Linked DNA regions of Notamacropus eugenii. The protein of the gene in region 1 interacts with the protein of each later gene in a pairwise test. Links are inferred from orthologs where the notes say so. Each region holds a gene or a part of one and is shown in the gene's direction. Other genes may lie near its edges.

The links.
Region 2: the proteins of TAX1BP1 (region 1) and MAP1LC3C interact in binary tests that used the Homo sapiens proteins (3 or more experiments, as listed by UniProt). The link is inferred for Notamacropus eugenii from reciprocal best matches to the Homo sapiens genes TAX1BP1 and MAP1LC3C.

The regions. Positions count from the first base shown.
Region 1 is NC_092874.1:18,740,701-18,747,876, forward strand, and holds the start of TAX1BP1 (tax1-binding protein 1), read left to right. Parts: upstream 1-4,165; 5' UTR 4,166-4,445; intron 4,446-7,176.
Region 2 is NC_092873.1:402,775,614-402,783,502, reverse strand, and holds the start of MAP1LC3C (microtubule-associated protein 1 light chain 3 gamma), read left to right. Parts: upstream 1-4,889; 5' UTR 4,890-5,052; coding exon 5,053-5,110; intron 5,111-5,219; coding exon 5,220-5,275; intron 5,276-5,487; coding exon 5,488-5,594; intron 5,595-7,889.

The DNA.
Region 1 (7,176 bases):
TTTATATAAATATATAAAATATATATATCTTGAGGTAGAAAGATTTTTATATCTTCTTTACACATGAAAAAACTGAGGCTTAGAGACTTGTCCACATTCCTACCACTACAAAACAGTCAAATTGAGATTTGAACTCAGTTCTTTCCTGACTAACACTACCAGGCCCTCTATTATTCCATACCATCATCTCTAAAGTTACTGAAAAGCTTCTTTAATACTCTGATGGATGTGAGTACAACAAGGGTGAGTCCCAGGGCCAGTGGGGATGGCAGCTTATGCCTTCTTCCCTTTTTGTGTATTTTCTGAACTTGTACCCTGTAAGTCTTCACACAATCTACATGCCAGAGTCCTTGTTCTGGGTCTTTGGATCTTTCCTGGATTCTAGTGCAACCCAGGGCCTTGCATCTATTACCTCTTCATTCCTTTCCCCATACATGTCCTTTACTGAACATGTTTGTGAGGATGCTTTTACCCTATTTCCTGTATCCTGGCATAGGTTACAGGCTCCTGACACTACCAAGCACCTCTCCACTGACTCTTGGACCATCTACCATTTTGATTCTTTGAAGGTACCCCTTGGTTTGTTGCCATATGGTATTCCTAGAAGAATACTGGGGTTAAAAGATGGCACTAAGGGACTTTGTGATCCCAGAAAATTCTACACCACTTCCCAAATGCAAGCACTCAGCTTCCTATTTAGATCTGATCTCAAATCATCATGACTCATTTGCAACACTTGTCCAAAGTAAATATACTGCTGGACTAACTTGGTGGACTGAACATCACTAGCACGCCACAAGACAAATTTTCTGTTGCTCCTCTCCACGCCACATGTCTTCCCATTTTGTCTCGCCCCATGTTTGCCATCAGCATTTTCTTAGTTATGCCATCTTTGACTTAAGGTCTTGGCTTCTAATGTCCGATCTCCGCATCCAGTCAGTGTGACAAGGTTGAGGGGTGATGGGGACCCCAAAATATTGACAGTCTGGGTCGTGCTAGAATGAATTCGACTCAAGTCTTCTTAAAGCCAAAGAAAACAAAGTTTATTAAAGATTTGCCATCTTGGGTTGCCTCTTAAGGAGCCTAAGCACTTGTAACGCTTGCATTCACAAGCGGGCCGGACAGAATCCCAGCTAGACAGAGTCTGAGCTGGATTGCATCTGAGTGCCTTCATGGAGGTGAGATGGAACTAAACACAGAAAAGAGTATAGGAGGGATCTGGGGGGGGGGGGGGTGTCCAGGGTGATGGGAGGAGGGGTTTAGGAAGGGCCTTGAGGAGAAGTTCAAGGAGGGAATCCAAGGAGGGTCAAAGGCTGGAAACAGCTGGAGGCTATCAGGAGATATCAGACTAGGGGGCGCCTAGGTGGGAAGCAGGTGGGACAATCAAGAGGTAACAGACAATGGCCGCAGATTTGAGTACGAAAAGCCAGGTTAAGTGAGGAGATACTAGGAGAGCTCAATCTGAGTATGAAAAGCCAGGTTAAGTGAGGAGATTCCAGGGGAGTTCAAGGAAGTTCTCAGAGTCTGAACCCCATCAATTGCCCTCACTGTGGTTCAGGCCTCTATTTCCACAGCCTCCAGTTTCATTATGCCAGCCACACGGAATGCAAAGACAAAATATTTTCTCTGCCTCCAATTTCCCTTTCTTATTCAATCTTTCTTCATGCTACTTTCCTGTTCAAAAAACCTCATTGGCTCTATATCCCGCCTTGGTCTGATACTCAAGGCTTTCTGTAAGCTAGGCATAACTTTCTTTTTTCTAAATTTATCTTTCGCTCCTCCCACAATTGTATCCCCCCTTCCTCTCAGAAGATCAGAACTGACTGGACTCTGAATAGGTTTGAATGCCCTTCCTACCCAAGTAGTTCAAGGTCCCCTTCTCAATCTCATTTTACCCCAAATGTTCACAAAGACTATTTGTGCCTGACCTGCGGCAGAACATTCTGAGCTCATGTTGGTCTGATCAGCTACAGTTGGACACATTGTAACTTGACTCTAGCATAGTGATGTCATTTTGATCCTCTTTGGACAACAAGTATCTTTCCATAAGTCCCTAGTACAAACTGTTGCTTGGTTTTCAAGGTCTTGAATAACATGGTTCGCCCCTATTTCTAACCTTATTTTATATTAATCCCTAACTTGTATTTAGGTTATTATTCTCAATGTCTCCAGAAAATGCCAAGTTCATTCCCATTTTGAAAAGTATAAGGAAGGCTTTCCTTCCTATTGTATCTCTGGCTTAGAATCATTCCTTCTGCCTTGCTCTCTAGCCATTGAAATCCCACGTGATCTTCAAGATCTGTTTTGGTGTCTGATCTCCCATGAAGTCATGACAATAATCTCTCCTCTCTTCTCTCACAGCAGAGTTGTGTGCTACAAAACCTTAAGCTTAGTGGTATGCTGCCTGTTTGGTAATGATTGTTTTATGTGTGTTAGGCAGAGACCGTATCTGGTATTTCTGCATCCTTTGCAGCTCCTGACTCCTGAGCAGAGGAGAGATGGGTTATTTCCATCTGCTCACACAGTGGAGTTCAACCTTCCAGGATCACTTAATCAAGCACTTACTATTCCTCTTCTACTAAGCCTCCCTCCCCCATTCTGTTCTGTAGTGGCGACTCCTTTCTCCAGACTCCCAAGATATCTACTATACTAAAAGGCAGTATGGTAATGGTGGCATTTCGGTGGACTTGGCCTCAGCAGCCTAAATCTTGTTTCTGATACTTGTAGCTGTGTGGTCATGGGCAGGTAACTTCCAGGTTTCCCATCTGCAAAATAGGAATATTCAATAATATCAGGGCCATCATGAAAAGCAAATGAAATGAAAAATACAAAGCTTTGATAACTTTTTCTTGGTAGTTAACATTTTATGCACAGATGTCATGTCCACATTATTACTGGACTTGAGCTCACAGATTGCCGGATGTGGTATTTCTTTTTAAATTCTTTCTAGTATCTTGCATCACACTGAACACTCAGTATATCTTGCTGACTGATACTACCATAAACCTTCTAGGTGCTTGGTCAAGGCGGGCATCATTAAAATGGAATGTATTAGCATATGTGGGGTTGGCTGAACCCCTGGATTTCTTTTAGATAAGAATGGAAGCTAATTGCCCTAATTGTTGACTGTGCTAAAAAATGCAAAGCAAGAAAAACTCCAGGAAAAACCCTGGGGCTGATGTCACTAGATCTAAAGTTTCTTCACTTTCTAAAAGGTCAAGATCTTCAGATGGAGATTAAACCATCCCCAGCAAAGTGCTTACTAATGTCAGTTTCTATTTCTAGTTACAGTTATCACTATACTAGTTACAGTAACCACTATACGTGTAGTATCTCTATGGATGTAAGTACTAAGCTGCCTTTATCCTCATATACGTATTTGTGTACGTGTATGTCATTTGCACACGTGTCTGTAGACACACAGAAACCACTGGAGGGAGAGGCAGGAAGGCTTACTGGACCAGTAAGCAAGGGGTGCCCACGACAGTGGCTTTCTGTACAAATGAAGTTTGACTGATGTCCTGTAGACGAGGGTTGGATCCGAGCCGTGGGGGCCCGAAGCTTTTGGAGGCACCCAAGACAACGGCACGGATGGCAGACGGCCGCCCGGCCATGCGGGTCAGGCAGGATTCGAACCCAGGTCCTCGGGCTCCCATTATTTATTTAGTGGTTACTACGCGACTCCACCGTCCGCCAGCTCCGTGCTGGGCATCAGAGAGGACAGAGACCTCGGCAAAGTTCCTCCCCGGTTGGGGCTGACCCTCCGCTGGGGAAGGGGATGTCGCAGGCGGGAGGGGAGGAGACAGTCCTTCCCCTTCATCCGCGAGCCCCAGAAGCCCTGGGTTCAGATCGTGCCTCGAAGCTGTAGCAGTGTGGGCCTCAATTCCCTGATCTGTGAAATGGGGGCGATAACAGCCCCCCCAACTCCCCCTCCCGGGCCTGTTATGAGACGTGCTCTGCAAACCTGACTGCGCTGTGACGCAAGCCAGGCAGCCCTGCCTGCCCTCGGGGAGGCAGGATTCGAACCCAGACACGGAGACTCGGGTACTGACATGTCCCTCTCCGTCCCGGGCTCCGAATGGGAAGGCGCAGGGGGCGGGACTCCAGCCCCTGGCCGAGGGGAGTGGCGGGTTCAAGCCCGGGGTCGTCGCGCCTGCGCAGACCTGGCGCCCCGCCCCCGGCGCGCCCCTTCCTGCCCCGGAACGAGGCTGCACGCACGCGGCGGAAGCGAGCCTCCCGGAAGGACGGAAGTGACGCTCACGGCCGCGATTGGCTCGCCCCTCCCTCCGTCCCTCCTTTCCCCGCTCCTCCTCCTCGGTCCGTAGGTCCGGCCGTTCGTCCGCCTGTTTGTGGCGGAAGGCGCCCGGTGGCTGATGGCCATTCTGAGCGGGAGGCCCTGGTGACGCTGCCCAGCCTTCGCAGAGGCCTCTCCGGGCCAGCCTGGGGTAAGAAGCCGGGGCTGGCGGGCGGAGGCCGGGCGGGATTGTGACGTGCCCGCAGGGACTCGGGCCCAGGGGGCAGGGGGGCGGGCGCTCTCTGCCTCAGTTTCCCCTTCGTGAAGTGAGAGCTTCCCAGAAGAGGAGACGCCGGGACTAGAATCTCGGTAGCCTCCACGCGTATACTCTAAGCGCCCAATGAGTGCTGGTCGGTTGGCCCACTCGGGCCCGGAGGCAGAACCAGGGGCGGCACCGTAAAGAAGGAGGAGCTGGGCCCTGGAGCTGAGGGGGGGCGGGCGGGGAGCGGCCCAGGTCCTCGGGGTGTCGGGAGGGGGAGGGGAGCGCGGGGCGCTCGGGAGCCCGTGTTTGTGTATGGGGCGGGGAGGGGCGGGGCCTGCGGGCGGGGAGGGATCCCGCGTACTTCCGGGATGGGCCAGTGCCGTTCTGCCTCCCCCAGGCAGTGCGCGGGCTGGGGGGTTCAGTGCCCTTTGACCTCACCGGACAGCGGAGGTGTTGGGCAGAGCCTGACCCCGCGCGTCCGACTTGGGGCCGGAGACCAAGTGGAGTCGGAACTTGGGCTTTTGAGAAACGTCCGGGAAGTTAAGGGGGGCTGCGAGAGCCTGGGGCGGGGGGCGGCCCTCGGAGCGGCGATCTTAAGGGCTTGATGCCAGCCAGGCGCGGGGGGGAGGTTACGGAAGGCCCCGTAAAAGTGCGCTTTCCCCTTCCTGCAGCCGAATTACTGGACCAAGCGCGCCCCGGGTCCCTCTCAGCTGACGCAGACGGTAGCCTCCGGGCTGACCCTGGGCTGGGCAGCCCTCTGGGAGGGTGACGTGTTCGAAGTATCTCTAAAACAGTGAAGGAGGGTGCTGCTCTGAAGGGCTCTTCAGGTGTTTAGGTGGCCTCTGTCTGAAGGGTTTTATGCGGGAGGGAGCGGACTAATTCAGGTGTCTGTAGGTGGAATATGCAATGAAAATGCAGTGGGAGGCTGTCCGTAGTTTTAAAAATGGATAGAGGTCCACTGGCCCTGGAGTCCGGAGGACCTGAGTTCAAGTCGGGTCTCAGATATTTGACCCTGTGTGACCCCCTGGGCAAGTCACTTACCTCCATTACCTCCAAAAAAATGGATAGAGATGTAGCCTATTTCTCTACTTTCTCTGAAAGTGGTAACATTTAGTGTGCCGGCTCATTTATTGGCTGGATTCTCAGAGGCAGGAAGATCTGGGTTCAACTCCTGCCTCAGACGAGGACTGGCCCTTCTCTGACACCAGAAGTCGAAGAAGACGCTGACCTGCTTTAGGAGAGGGAGTCGAAGTTCTTTATTTCAATAATAAAATCACAATCCATCCTCCTTGGTGTCATCCTTATTTAGAGCTGATAAATTACATAAGGTGATTGGAAAGAAGCTTATGACCGCTGACATCATTTACGGATCTTTTCCTAAGGATTGCCCCTGCTGCATTCAGTTCGTTAAAGTGGAATGGGTAGTGCCGTGGAGCTTGTAACCGTCAGCCGGCCTCAGACATTGCTGGCTGTGCTCGTCTGACCAAGGCTCTAACCAGGCTCTCAGCTGCACTTTTTTCCTTTGTAAAATAATAGCACTGACCGTAACAGGTTCTTGTGAAGGTCGAATGAGATCATATGTGTGGTATATAGAAAGATTGGTTATTGTTAACATTCTGGAAGGAAATGTGATAACCAACAATCCTTTGTCTGAATGGGACCGTAAAATCTGCCTAGAGAAGTGTAGGGAATCATACTTACCGAGCTCCCACTGTGTTCACATAGGGAGCTGTATATAGGACTCTATACAGAAATGTACAATGCAATTATTGCCTTTAGAATTTAGAATAAATTAGAATTAAGATTAAGAATTTAGTTCAAAGACTTCCTGATGTAGAGTTCCTAGGTGACCTGTAAGGATCCCAAGAAATTGGGTTTGGCAGGCTGAGGACTTAACTGGAGATTTTGGATAGGCAACATGAAATGTTTAAATGGACTATTGTGTGATTGTGATTGTGTGTAACTCCTGGTTTTGACTCCTCAGTTTTCACTCATTTTAAATTGGTCTCCCATTCCTGGACCCTTGGTAGCAGAAAGTGAGATTGAAGCCTGAAGTCGCCGTTGTGGCTCCTATTTGCCCTTCCTTCTGTGGAGGGTGGTGAATGGGAAGGGCTTCTCTCTCTGCCAGTGCGGCAGGGCTGTGTTTCCTCTGGGAATGGTGCTGTTTCCAAACAAAGTGAAGGCGGTGGGAGACTCCATCAGGTTCTGGGGGAAGAAAAGGAGAAAGCGAGGGCATTTGAGGCAGTTGCAGACTCCTGGAAGCCATTTACACATGTAGAGGACAGGAGGGACCAGGTGAAAGCAAGGTTAGCAGAATTTGGAGGGAACTGATAGGGATTCTTTATTCCATTCCATGAGCCAGAGTCATCTAGCTGTTAATTTGTGATGGTTTGAAGATGGGAAATTTGTTAAAATAGAAGGAAAGGGAAGAAAATCATGACCTATCCCTGCTTTAATCAGCTCCAGTTTCATCCTATGATATGTATTGCAAGTTACTTGTATTGCCATTTAGAGAATAATTCTATTAGTTCTGTGAATATTTGACAATATTCCAACGGGAAACCCCCCTCCAGTGTAGTCATGGAAACATTTTTGTTTTGAATTTTATTTTTTATAATGTTGACATGTGAGAATTCAGACAAGCACAATGACCATGACACAGCACTCCTCGGTGTTGGGA
Region 2 (7,889 bases), on another chromosome or scaffold:
AAGACTCAACTCTAATTCCACCTGTTCCAAGAAGACTTTCCTATGTCTCCCAGATGCTGATTCCTTCCTCCATCAAAGTTCCTTTCGTTTTTAAAATTTTCTTGTATCCACATAGTTGTTCATAAGTTATCACCCCCATTAGAATATAAACTTCCTGACAATAAGGACCATCTTTTTGCCTTTTTTTGTACTACCCACCACTTATAACAATGTCTGGCACATAGTAAGCTTGCAATAAATGCATTTTGACTCAAGTAATTTTATGTATTTTATACATGCCAGTTTTTATATTTGATTTCATAAAACCAGTGACTGTGTCTGTGTGAACACTGAGGCATCCATGTAGTCAAGGAGGAAGGCATACTAACTAGCTGAGCACTGGAGTACACTAAACTTTGATACAATGACCACAAGAAAAAATTCAGGTAACCCCTACAAGGAGTCTTGTGTTGAAGTACATGAATCTTTTGCTATTGCTGCTCCTGTAGGAACCAATTTAAGTATTTATAGCGGCTAGTTGAGCAGACTTTAAGCTTCCATAACCATTAATCAGTGGTTGATTTTAAAATGGAAACCAGAATTGGCTCCAGCTACAATTTGACACTAGAGAAATAGCTTCTGTATTTCATTAAATTAATTGGTCTGAAATTTTGCTGGCAAGTGGTATAACATAATAGGAACAGCAATAATAGGCATTTACACAGTGATTTAAATTTACAGACCCCTTTATATATCTTCTCTGCTCCAGTTCTCACTACATCCCAGTGAGGTAGGTCACTTAAGGGATTATTAACCCAGTTTTAGAGAATGGATAACTAAGACTCAGATGAAGGTATTTATTCATGGTAACATAGCTAGTGTCAGAGGTGGGATTTAAATCCCGGTCTCTAATGACCAAAAAACCCATTACTCTTTCCAGATATACCTAGAGTTAAACCCAGGAAGGAAAAAAAATAATTCATTTTTTCTGTAAAATTTAAAATTCTCCTTAATCATATCAATATTAGTATGATTAGACCATGTCTTATCTGAGTCTAGTTATTTATGCCCTATCAGCTATAGCAGGAGACTTGCACTAACATCATACCATTCCACACTGGCCTCTCCATAAAGTCAGGATTAAAGCCCTTGGAAAGATTCCTGAAGTAAAAAGGGAGGGTTCTGGGACAGATAACCCAGCCCAGTCTTGGAGTCCTTTCACTACGAAATTCTGGACATCCTTTTCTGGCTTCTTTTTCTTATCTTTTCTTTTTCTAATATCCCTCAACATCTGCTTTGTACAGACAGTTCCATTAGGTCCTTGATTCCTAACCAAGGTGAACTTGTGTCCATGACAAGAAGGAGCAGCTGTTTGCCAAGGCCCTGAGGGATCTTTGACTAATCAAGAAATGTTAAGCACATATCCCAAGGAGGTCAGAGGCAGAAAGATAGGTTCCATATACACCAAAATACTGGTTGTAGTACTTTTTGTGGCAAGAACTAGAACAAAAGTACTACACAAATTGTAGGAAATGACTGCAACAAAAAAATGATTCTGGGAGAAATGTGTATGAAGACTACAGATGAGTATAGGAAAACTTACATGAACTGATTCAAAGTGAAGCAAGAAGGACCAGGAAAAACAATATATACAGTAACAATAATAAAATAAATAACACCACCACCTCCGTTCAAAACTGTATGCTTTTGGCTAAGCCTGAACACAAAGAAGAGATATGAGAAAACAGTATCCTCCTTTTTCTGAAGAGGTGGAAGATTATGAAGGTGAAAAAAAAAGTCCTAATCTTCAGAAAAGTGAAGAAAATGGAGTCTGTAAACCATGACCAGTAAGCTGGGTTTGTATTCCTGGAAAAATTCTAGGAAAAAGATTAAATGAATGATTAGTGGACATTTATAAAATGTAGCAGTGATCACAAAGAGCCAACCTGGCTTCATTGAGAACAAATCATGCTATGTTTGCTCATAAGACTAGATATGTTGGTAAGAGTGTTGATATGTCATGAGAATGGTTCAATTGCTTGTAATCAAATAATGTTGAACATGCATTTAAAAAACAAGTTATGGAAGACTTCGCTCTTTTTCTCCATGACAGATATACTAGACTGGTCTGATCAGAGGAATAGTGTAGGTTTTTTTTTTTTTGACTTGTATTTTTAGCAGAGTATTTTGGCTATTCTTGTGGACAATATGTAGAGAAGTAAGACACATGGTAGCATAGTTAGGTAGATTTAGATGTGGTTGAATGGATGTACCTAATGTGTCATTATTAATGAATCACTATATTTTAGAAAGAACATTGTAAGTTAGAAAGAATCCAAAGGAGAGCAGTCTATACAATGAAGGACTTTGATCTCTTGCCATATGAGAACTGATTAAAGAAAATGGGGATATTTAGCCTGGAAAAGAAGAAGATATGATACTAGAAGGAAGAGGAATTCAGTTTGTTCAGATTGGCCCCTGAGAGTAGAACTAGGAGCAATGAGAAATTGTGTAAGCAAATTTAGTCTTTATGTAAACAAAGTTGCCTACTAATTAGAGAAATGCAAAAGTGGAACGAGCTGTTTTGAGAAGTAGCCTTGCTCCACTGGAAGCACAGAAATACCAATCCACAGATACTTGCTGAGCATCTAATGCCTATTAAATTCATGACACCATGCTAGACCTCATAGGAGAATACAGAGCACTATTATTTCTTACTTTAAAAAATATATTTATTAGTAAATTTGCTTCACCATATCATCAAACCCTCAACAATCATCCTATGATCTATAACCCCAGAAAAACTGTACCTCAGAAATCAAAAGCATCATCAATATCTTATTGAACATACATCATCCTTTAACAAACTGGAAAAAAAAAAGACTAAAGTACATGTCATGTATCAGTCCGATCATTCTTTTATGTCATTTTACTTAACTGTTTCCTACTCTAAACAAACTTCTAGTTGGGGAAATAAAATACATATTCAGAAAGTTTCCTTATAAGGCAAGTGCCATTGGAGTTCAGAAGAAAGAGAAATTATTGTATAGTCAGGAGTAATCAGGAAAGGCTTTGTGGAATAATGGGATTTCAAGAACTTGGAAGATATTTAAGATTTAAACAGATGAAGAAAAAAAGATGTTCAAGGTGAAGGACAGGAGTCAAAAATAAAAACACAAAGATGGAAAAGTAACTCTTCCAAAGTTCCTTACCACAATAAAAGCAGAGCCACCCGTTATGGTCTATAAAGAAAGACAAAAGGTTGACAGTATGAAGTCCTGGGTTCTTGTCCCAATAAATGCATCCCATTCAATTTAACAAGCATGAAACACCTACTATTTGTAGAGCTGGGGCAGGTGGGTGGACAGTGAGATGGACCTGGAGTCAGACCTAAGTTCAAATATGAACTCAGAGACTTATTAGCTGTGTGACACTGGACAAGTAACTTAACCTTTTGTCTCAGTTTCCTCATTTGTAAAATAAGCTGGAGAAGGAAATGTCTAATCACTCCAGTATCTGCCAAGAAAACCCCAAATATGGTCACAAAGAAGGACATGGCTGAAATGACTGAACAACAAATTTGTAGGGCACTGAGTTAGTAACTTATGATGCAAAGATGAATCAGACATGATTTCTTCTCTCAGGATGGTTGTAGTCTAATAGGAGAGAAGGGATATGTATACAAATATCTCTAATACTTCCTACTAACATTACAAATATAGATATGGATAAGTACATAGGAAGGATTCAAAGATTGCATAAAAGAGTAAAGCAAGAGAGGTATCCCTTTCACCTACAGAGAATAAGGAAACGCTTTAGGGGGACCCAGGCCAGAATTATACCTTTATGGTTGAAAATGATTTCAACAGGTAGAGTTAAAAAGAATTAACTAAAAGCACAAGGGATGCTATAAGAAAAGAGATAGGAAAGGACTGGATCTAGTAAGGGAGTGACAAGTGGGTCAGTTTGGCTAAAGGATAAAGTTAATTACAAGGAGAAATCTAACATGAGACTGGTAAGGTAGGTTAGAGTACAGTGTGAACCTCTAAGGAGTTTAGACTTTATGTTAAAAAGCAGTAGAGAGTCATTAAAGATTTTTTGAGTACGGAGTAACATGATTTGAAGAAGACTTTGACAATGGGATATTTATATGTTTTTATAACATAATTAAGGTAACAACTGTATATTTAAAGCAAGGGGAAAAACTAAGGCAGAAGGATCAGTTAGGAGGTTATTGAAATATTCCCACCAGTAAAGTAACAAAGAATGCAACTGGGCTGGTAACACTGTGAAGGATAAGATTAAGAGAGATGCAAAAGACCTGGAGTAGGAAATGACCACTGATGAGATGCAGGTGTTGAAGAGAGAGGAGTCAAAGGTGGTTTTTGAGTTTGAAACCTGAGAGACGAGTAAAAGGTACTACTAACTAACTCAGCTTCTTCGTCTATAAAATAGGGAATCTTGGGAATAATGTTTGTCTTCCATCTCTTATGACATCTATCCCTCAGTAGGATTCTATGAGGGGGAAATGATATGCTAAAGTCAAGAACAAATTCAAAATAGAACTTTGCTGTAACACTTGATTCTAGGTCAGAATTCAGTATAATGCAGATCAATCTTGGACTCCCCCCAAGAGGACATAGTTACGGAAATACCCAAAGAGCTTTAGTATGAGGAATTTTCACCTCTGAAGAATTTCATGGAATAGGCTAGGTAGGAAGATAGTGGTATAAGGATGCCTTCATTCCTTTAGCCGTAAAGGGGAAAATGTTCTCTGATAATGAGCAAAGCAACTTTGGACTTGCTCTGACTAACAAAACAGACCCACTTTTCCATTCCCATCTGTGAGGCTGACCTCTACTTCACAGGCTGTGGGTTTGGGTTGTGAGGGGTGGGGGGGAAAAGGGGAGGGGGAAAACATGATGTCACACCCAGGACTATATAAGGTACTTCATTAGGCTCTTGCAGACAGTTTGAAAGCAGCTGGAGAAAAAGAAATAGCACAGCCCTTCATTACTGGGGAATTTAAAAATTTACATTAAGTCAATCCTCACAGAAAACCTGTTGAATAAAATGCAACCTCAGCAGAAAAGTCAATCCATTCGACCTTTCAAGCAACGGAAAAGCTTAGGTACAACTAAGGGGGATCCTCCTAGGAGAGGAGAGGTGGGGAACGAGGGGAAAGGATGGATACAGACCTCATTTCATTTGTTTGATTAACTCTTCGTGTGCCATTACAGCAATCAGAAAAGAGGAAGTTGCTGGGATCCGGGAAAAGTTCCCAAGCAAGATACCGGTAAGGAGGTCCCTGTGGTAGAAGGTGGGTGGGATAATGGTACTGTCTTGAGCCGTGATCAATAAAGTATTGGAACAACCACAGGGCCCCGTGATACACTCTCCCACTAACTCCCACCTGGACTCAGTGATTCCAGGCAAGCGATCTTGTTCAGTTCCACTCAGAAGGGAGCAATTGGCTTTGCTTCAATTTATGTTTAAACGTTTTAACAGGTGATAGTTGAACGTTATCAGAAGGAGAAATACCTTCCCCCGCTGGACAAAACCAAATTCCTCGTTCCCCAGGAGCTGACCATGACTCAGTTTCTAACTATCATTAGGTAGGTGGCAAAACTAGAGACACCGTTCTGTAGGTACGGGAGGGGTGGGAGGAGTCAGGGAGAAGAGCTTCTCTTGGACTAGCTCTGGGAGGGGGAGTCTGTCTGTGATTCACCCTTTCTCTTCAGGGTGGCCAGGAAATGTTGAACTGGTGCTTAACCTCTTGGAGTATCCTAGCTTGGAGAGCCCCAGCCTGATAGAGCTAAAGTGAGCATTACTTGAGTTATCCTAAAGTCACAGGTGCTTTTTTTTTTAATCACCTGAGAAGCCTTTTATTCCCTCCTTTTGGAATTTATTCCAGAATTTAAAAAGAAGCTATCCAGAGCTTAGTGCAAAAAAGCCTAGTTTCAAGTCACTCTGACTTTATGAATTAAAAATTCATGACTACTCACTGTGTACTCTGTCTCCCTCTGTGTCTTTGTACATATCTCTGTATGTCGCTGTGTCTTTTTGTTTCTATGTGTTTTCTCTGTATATGTCTTTGTGTGTCTCTGTTGACATGTGTCTGTGTCTCTGTACATGTCTCTGTGCCTTTCTGTGATTTAGTATGACTGTCCTTTTCTTTGTCTCTGTGTCTCAAAAAAAAACAAAAACAAAAACAAATCCAGAGCAGCTTGGAGTAGGAGTACCTGCTACCTCCACTATCTTCCCTCTTACGTCCTCCACCAGCAAAATAGGATAGAATTGAAGGAACAGGACAGAAAATTGCCTTCTGGAAACCAAACATAAAGAGGTAGAATTGGAGCATTGGATCATAGAGCTCTAGCTGGAATGGAGCTAGTAAGCCATCTAGTTCAATCCCCACATTTTACCGATGAGGAAACTGAAGTTCAAAGAGGCTAGCTGGCTTGTCTGAAACCATACCCAGAGTGAGCATCAGAGTTAGGGGTTGAAAACAGCTCCTCAGACTTGAGAGACAGTGCCTGTTCCAATGACCCAAGCTGCCTTGCCTATCCATCAATCAGGCAACATTTATGAAGCACCTACTGTGTATCAGGCACTGTGCTAAGCACATCATCACCTAACATATGGATTCAATAAAAAGTATTTGGAGCTAAAAATAGATGTCTAAGAGCTAAGTAACTATGATTTACTGTATAATTCTCCACCAAAACAAAAAAAAAAAAGGAAGCTAGGGACTTTCCTTGGGGAGTTTTGTAACTTAAATAAGCTGTTTCTCCCTACATCTCATTTGGTGATCATTGCTTAAGCATCTATTATGTTGGAGGCACTCAACCAAGCAGCTGGTGCTACAAGGATGATTCCATGATAGCCTGGGCCAAAAAGTTTACCAAGGAGTAACAGGACCATGTGTACACACATAAGTGTAATGTAAGGCAGAATGTGACAGTAATTTCTTCTACAGTTATCTTCCTTGTACTTTGTAGATTGAAATGCTTACATGAATCAAAGATGGTTAAATTCATAACAAGACATTTTTATGTGAATATACCATAAACGAGTTCAAGAAAATTAAGAAGAGAAGAACATTCCTACCTTTATTTTTGGAAGGTAGAAATCTTATTGACAAGACTTTTTTTTCCTTAGTATAGTCCTCCATACTGTATTTTTCTCTATTCTTGTCATGGAAGTTACTGTGCTGAAACCATCCCTATGTTAATTGGGAGGAAACAGAAGGTGAACAATTAGACTTTTTTTTTTTTTTTAACACTAGGTCTCCCTGTCTCACCCAGACAGTAAGTGCAGTGGCCAGTGATGAACTGACCTGCTGTTAATTGGTACTGAAATTTTGACTTGCCATGTTTTTTCCACCTAGGTGGGTCACTATTCTTTAGTCAGCCTGTTGGCCCTTCGTTCTAGATAAGAATACTGGACCTGGAGTCAGGAAAGCCTCAATTCAATCCTGCCTCAGACACTTACCAGCTGTGTGAACCTGGGTAAATCACTTCACCTCTCTGTAACTCAGTTTCCTCATTTGTAAAATGGGGATGATAATAACACCTACCTCCCAGGGTGGTTGTGAGGATCAAATGAGATAATATTTGTAAAGTGCTTTGCAAACCTCGAAGTGTTATAAAAATGCTAGCTATTATTACGGTTATTGTTATCTTTGCCCTGTACTTGGTATGGACACCCATTGGACTTTAAAGGCAGCCAGGTGGTACAGTGGATAGAGTGCTGGGCATAAAGTCAGGAAACCCTGAGTTCAAATCCAGTCTCAGACACTGAGGAGGTGAGATTTTGGGATAGTTACCTAACTTCTATTTGCCTGTGTTTCCTCAAATGTAAAATGGGTCACAGGGTTGCTGTGAAGATCAAATGAGATGTTTTTAAAG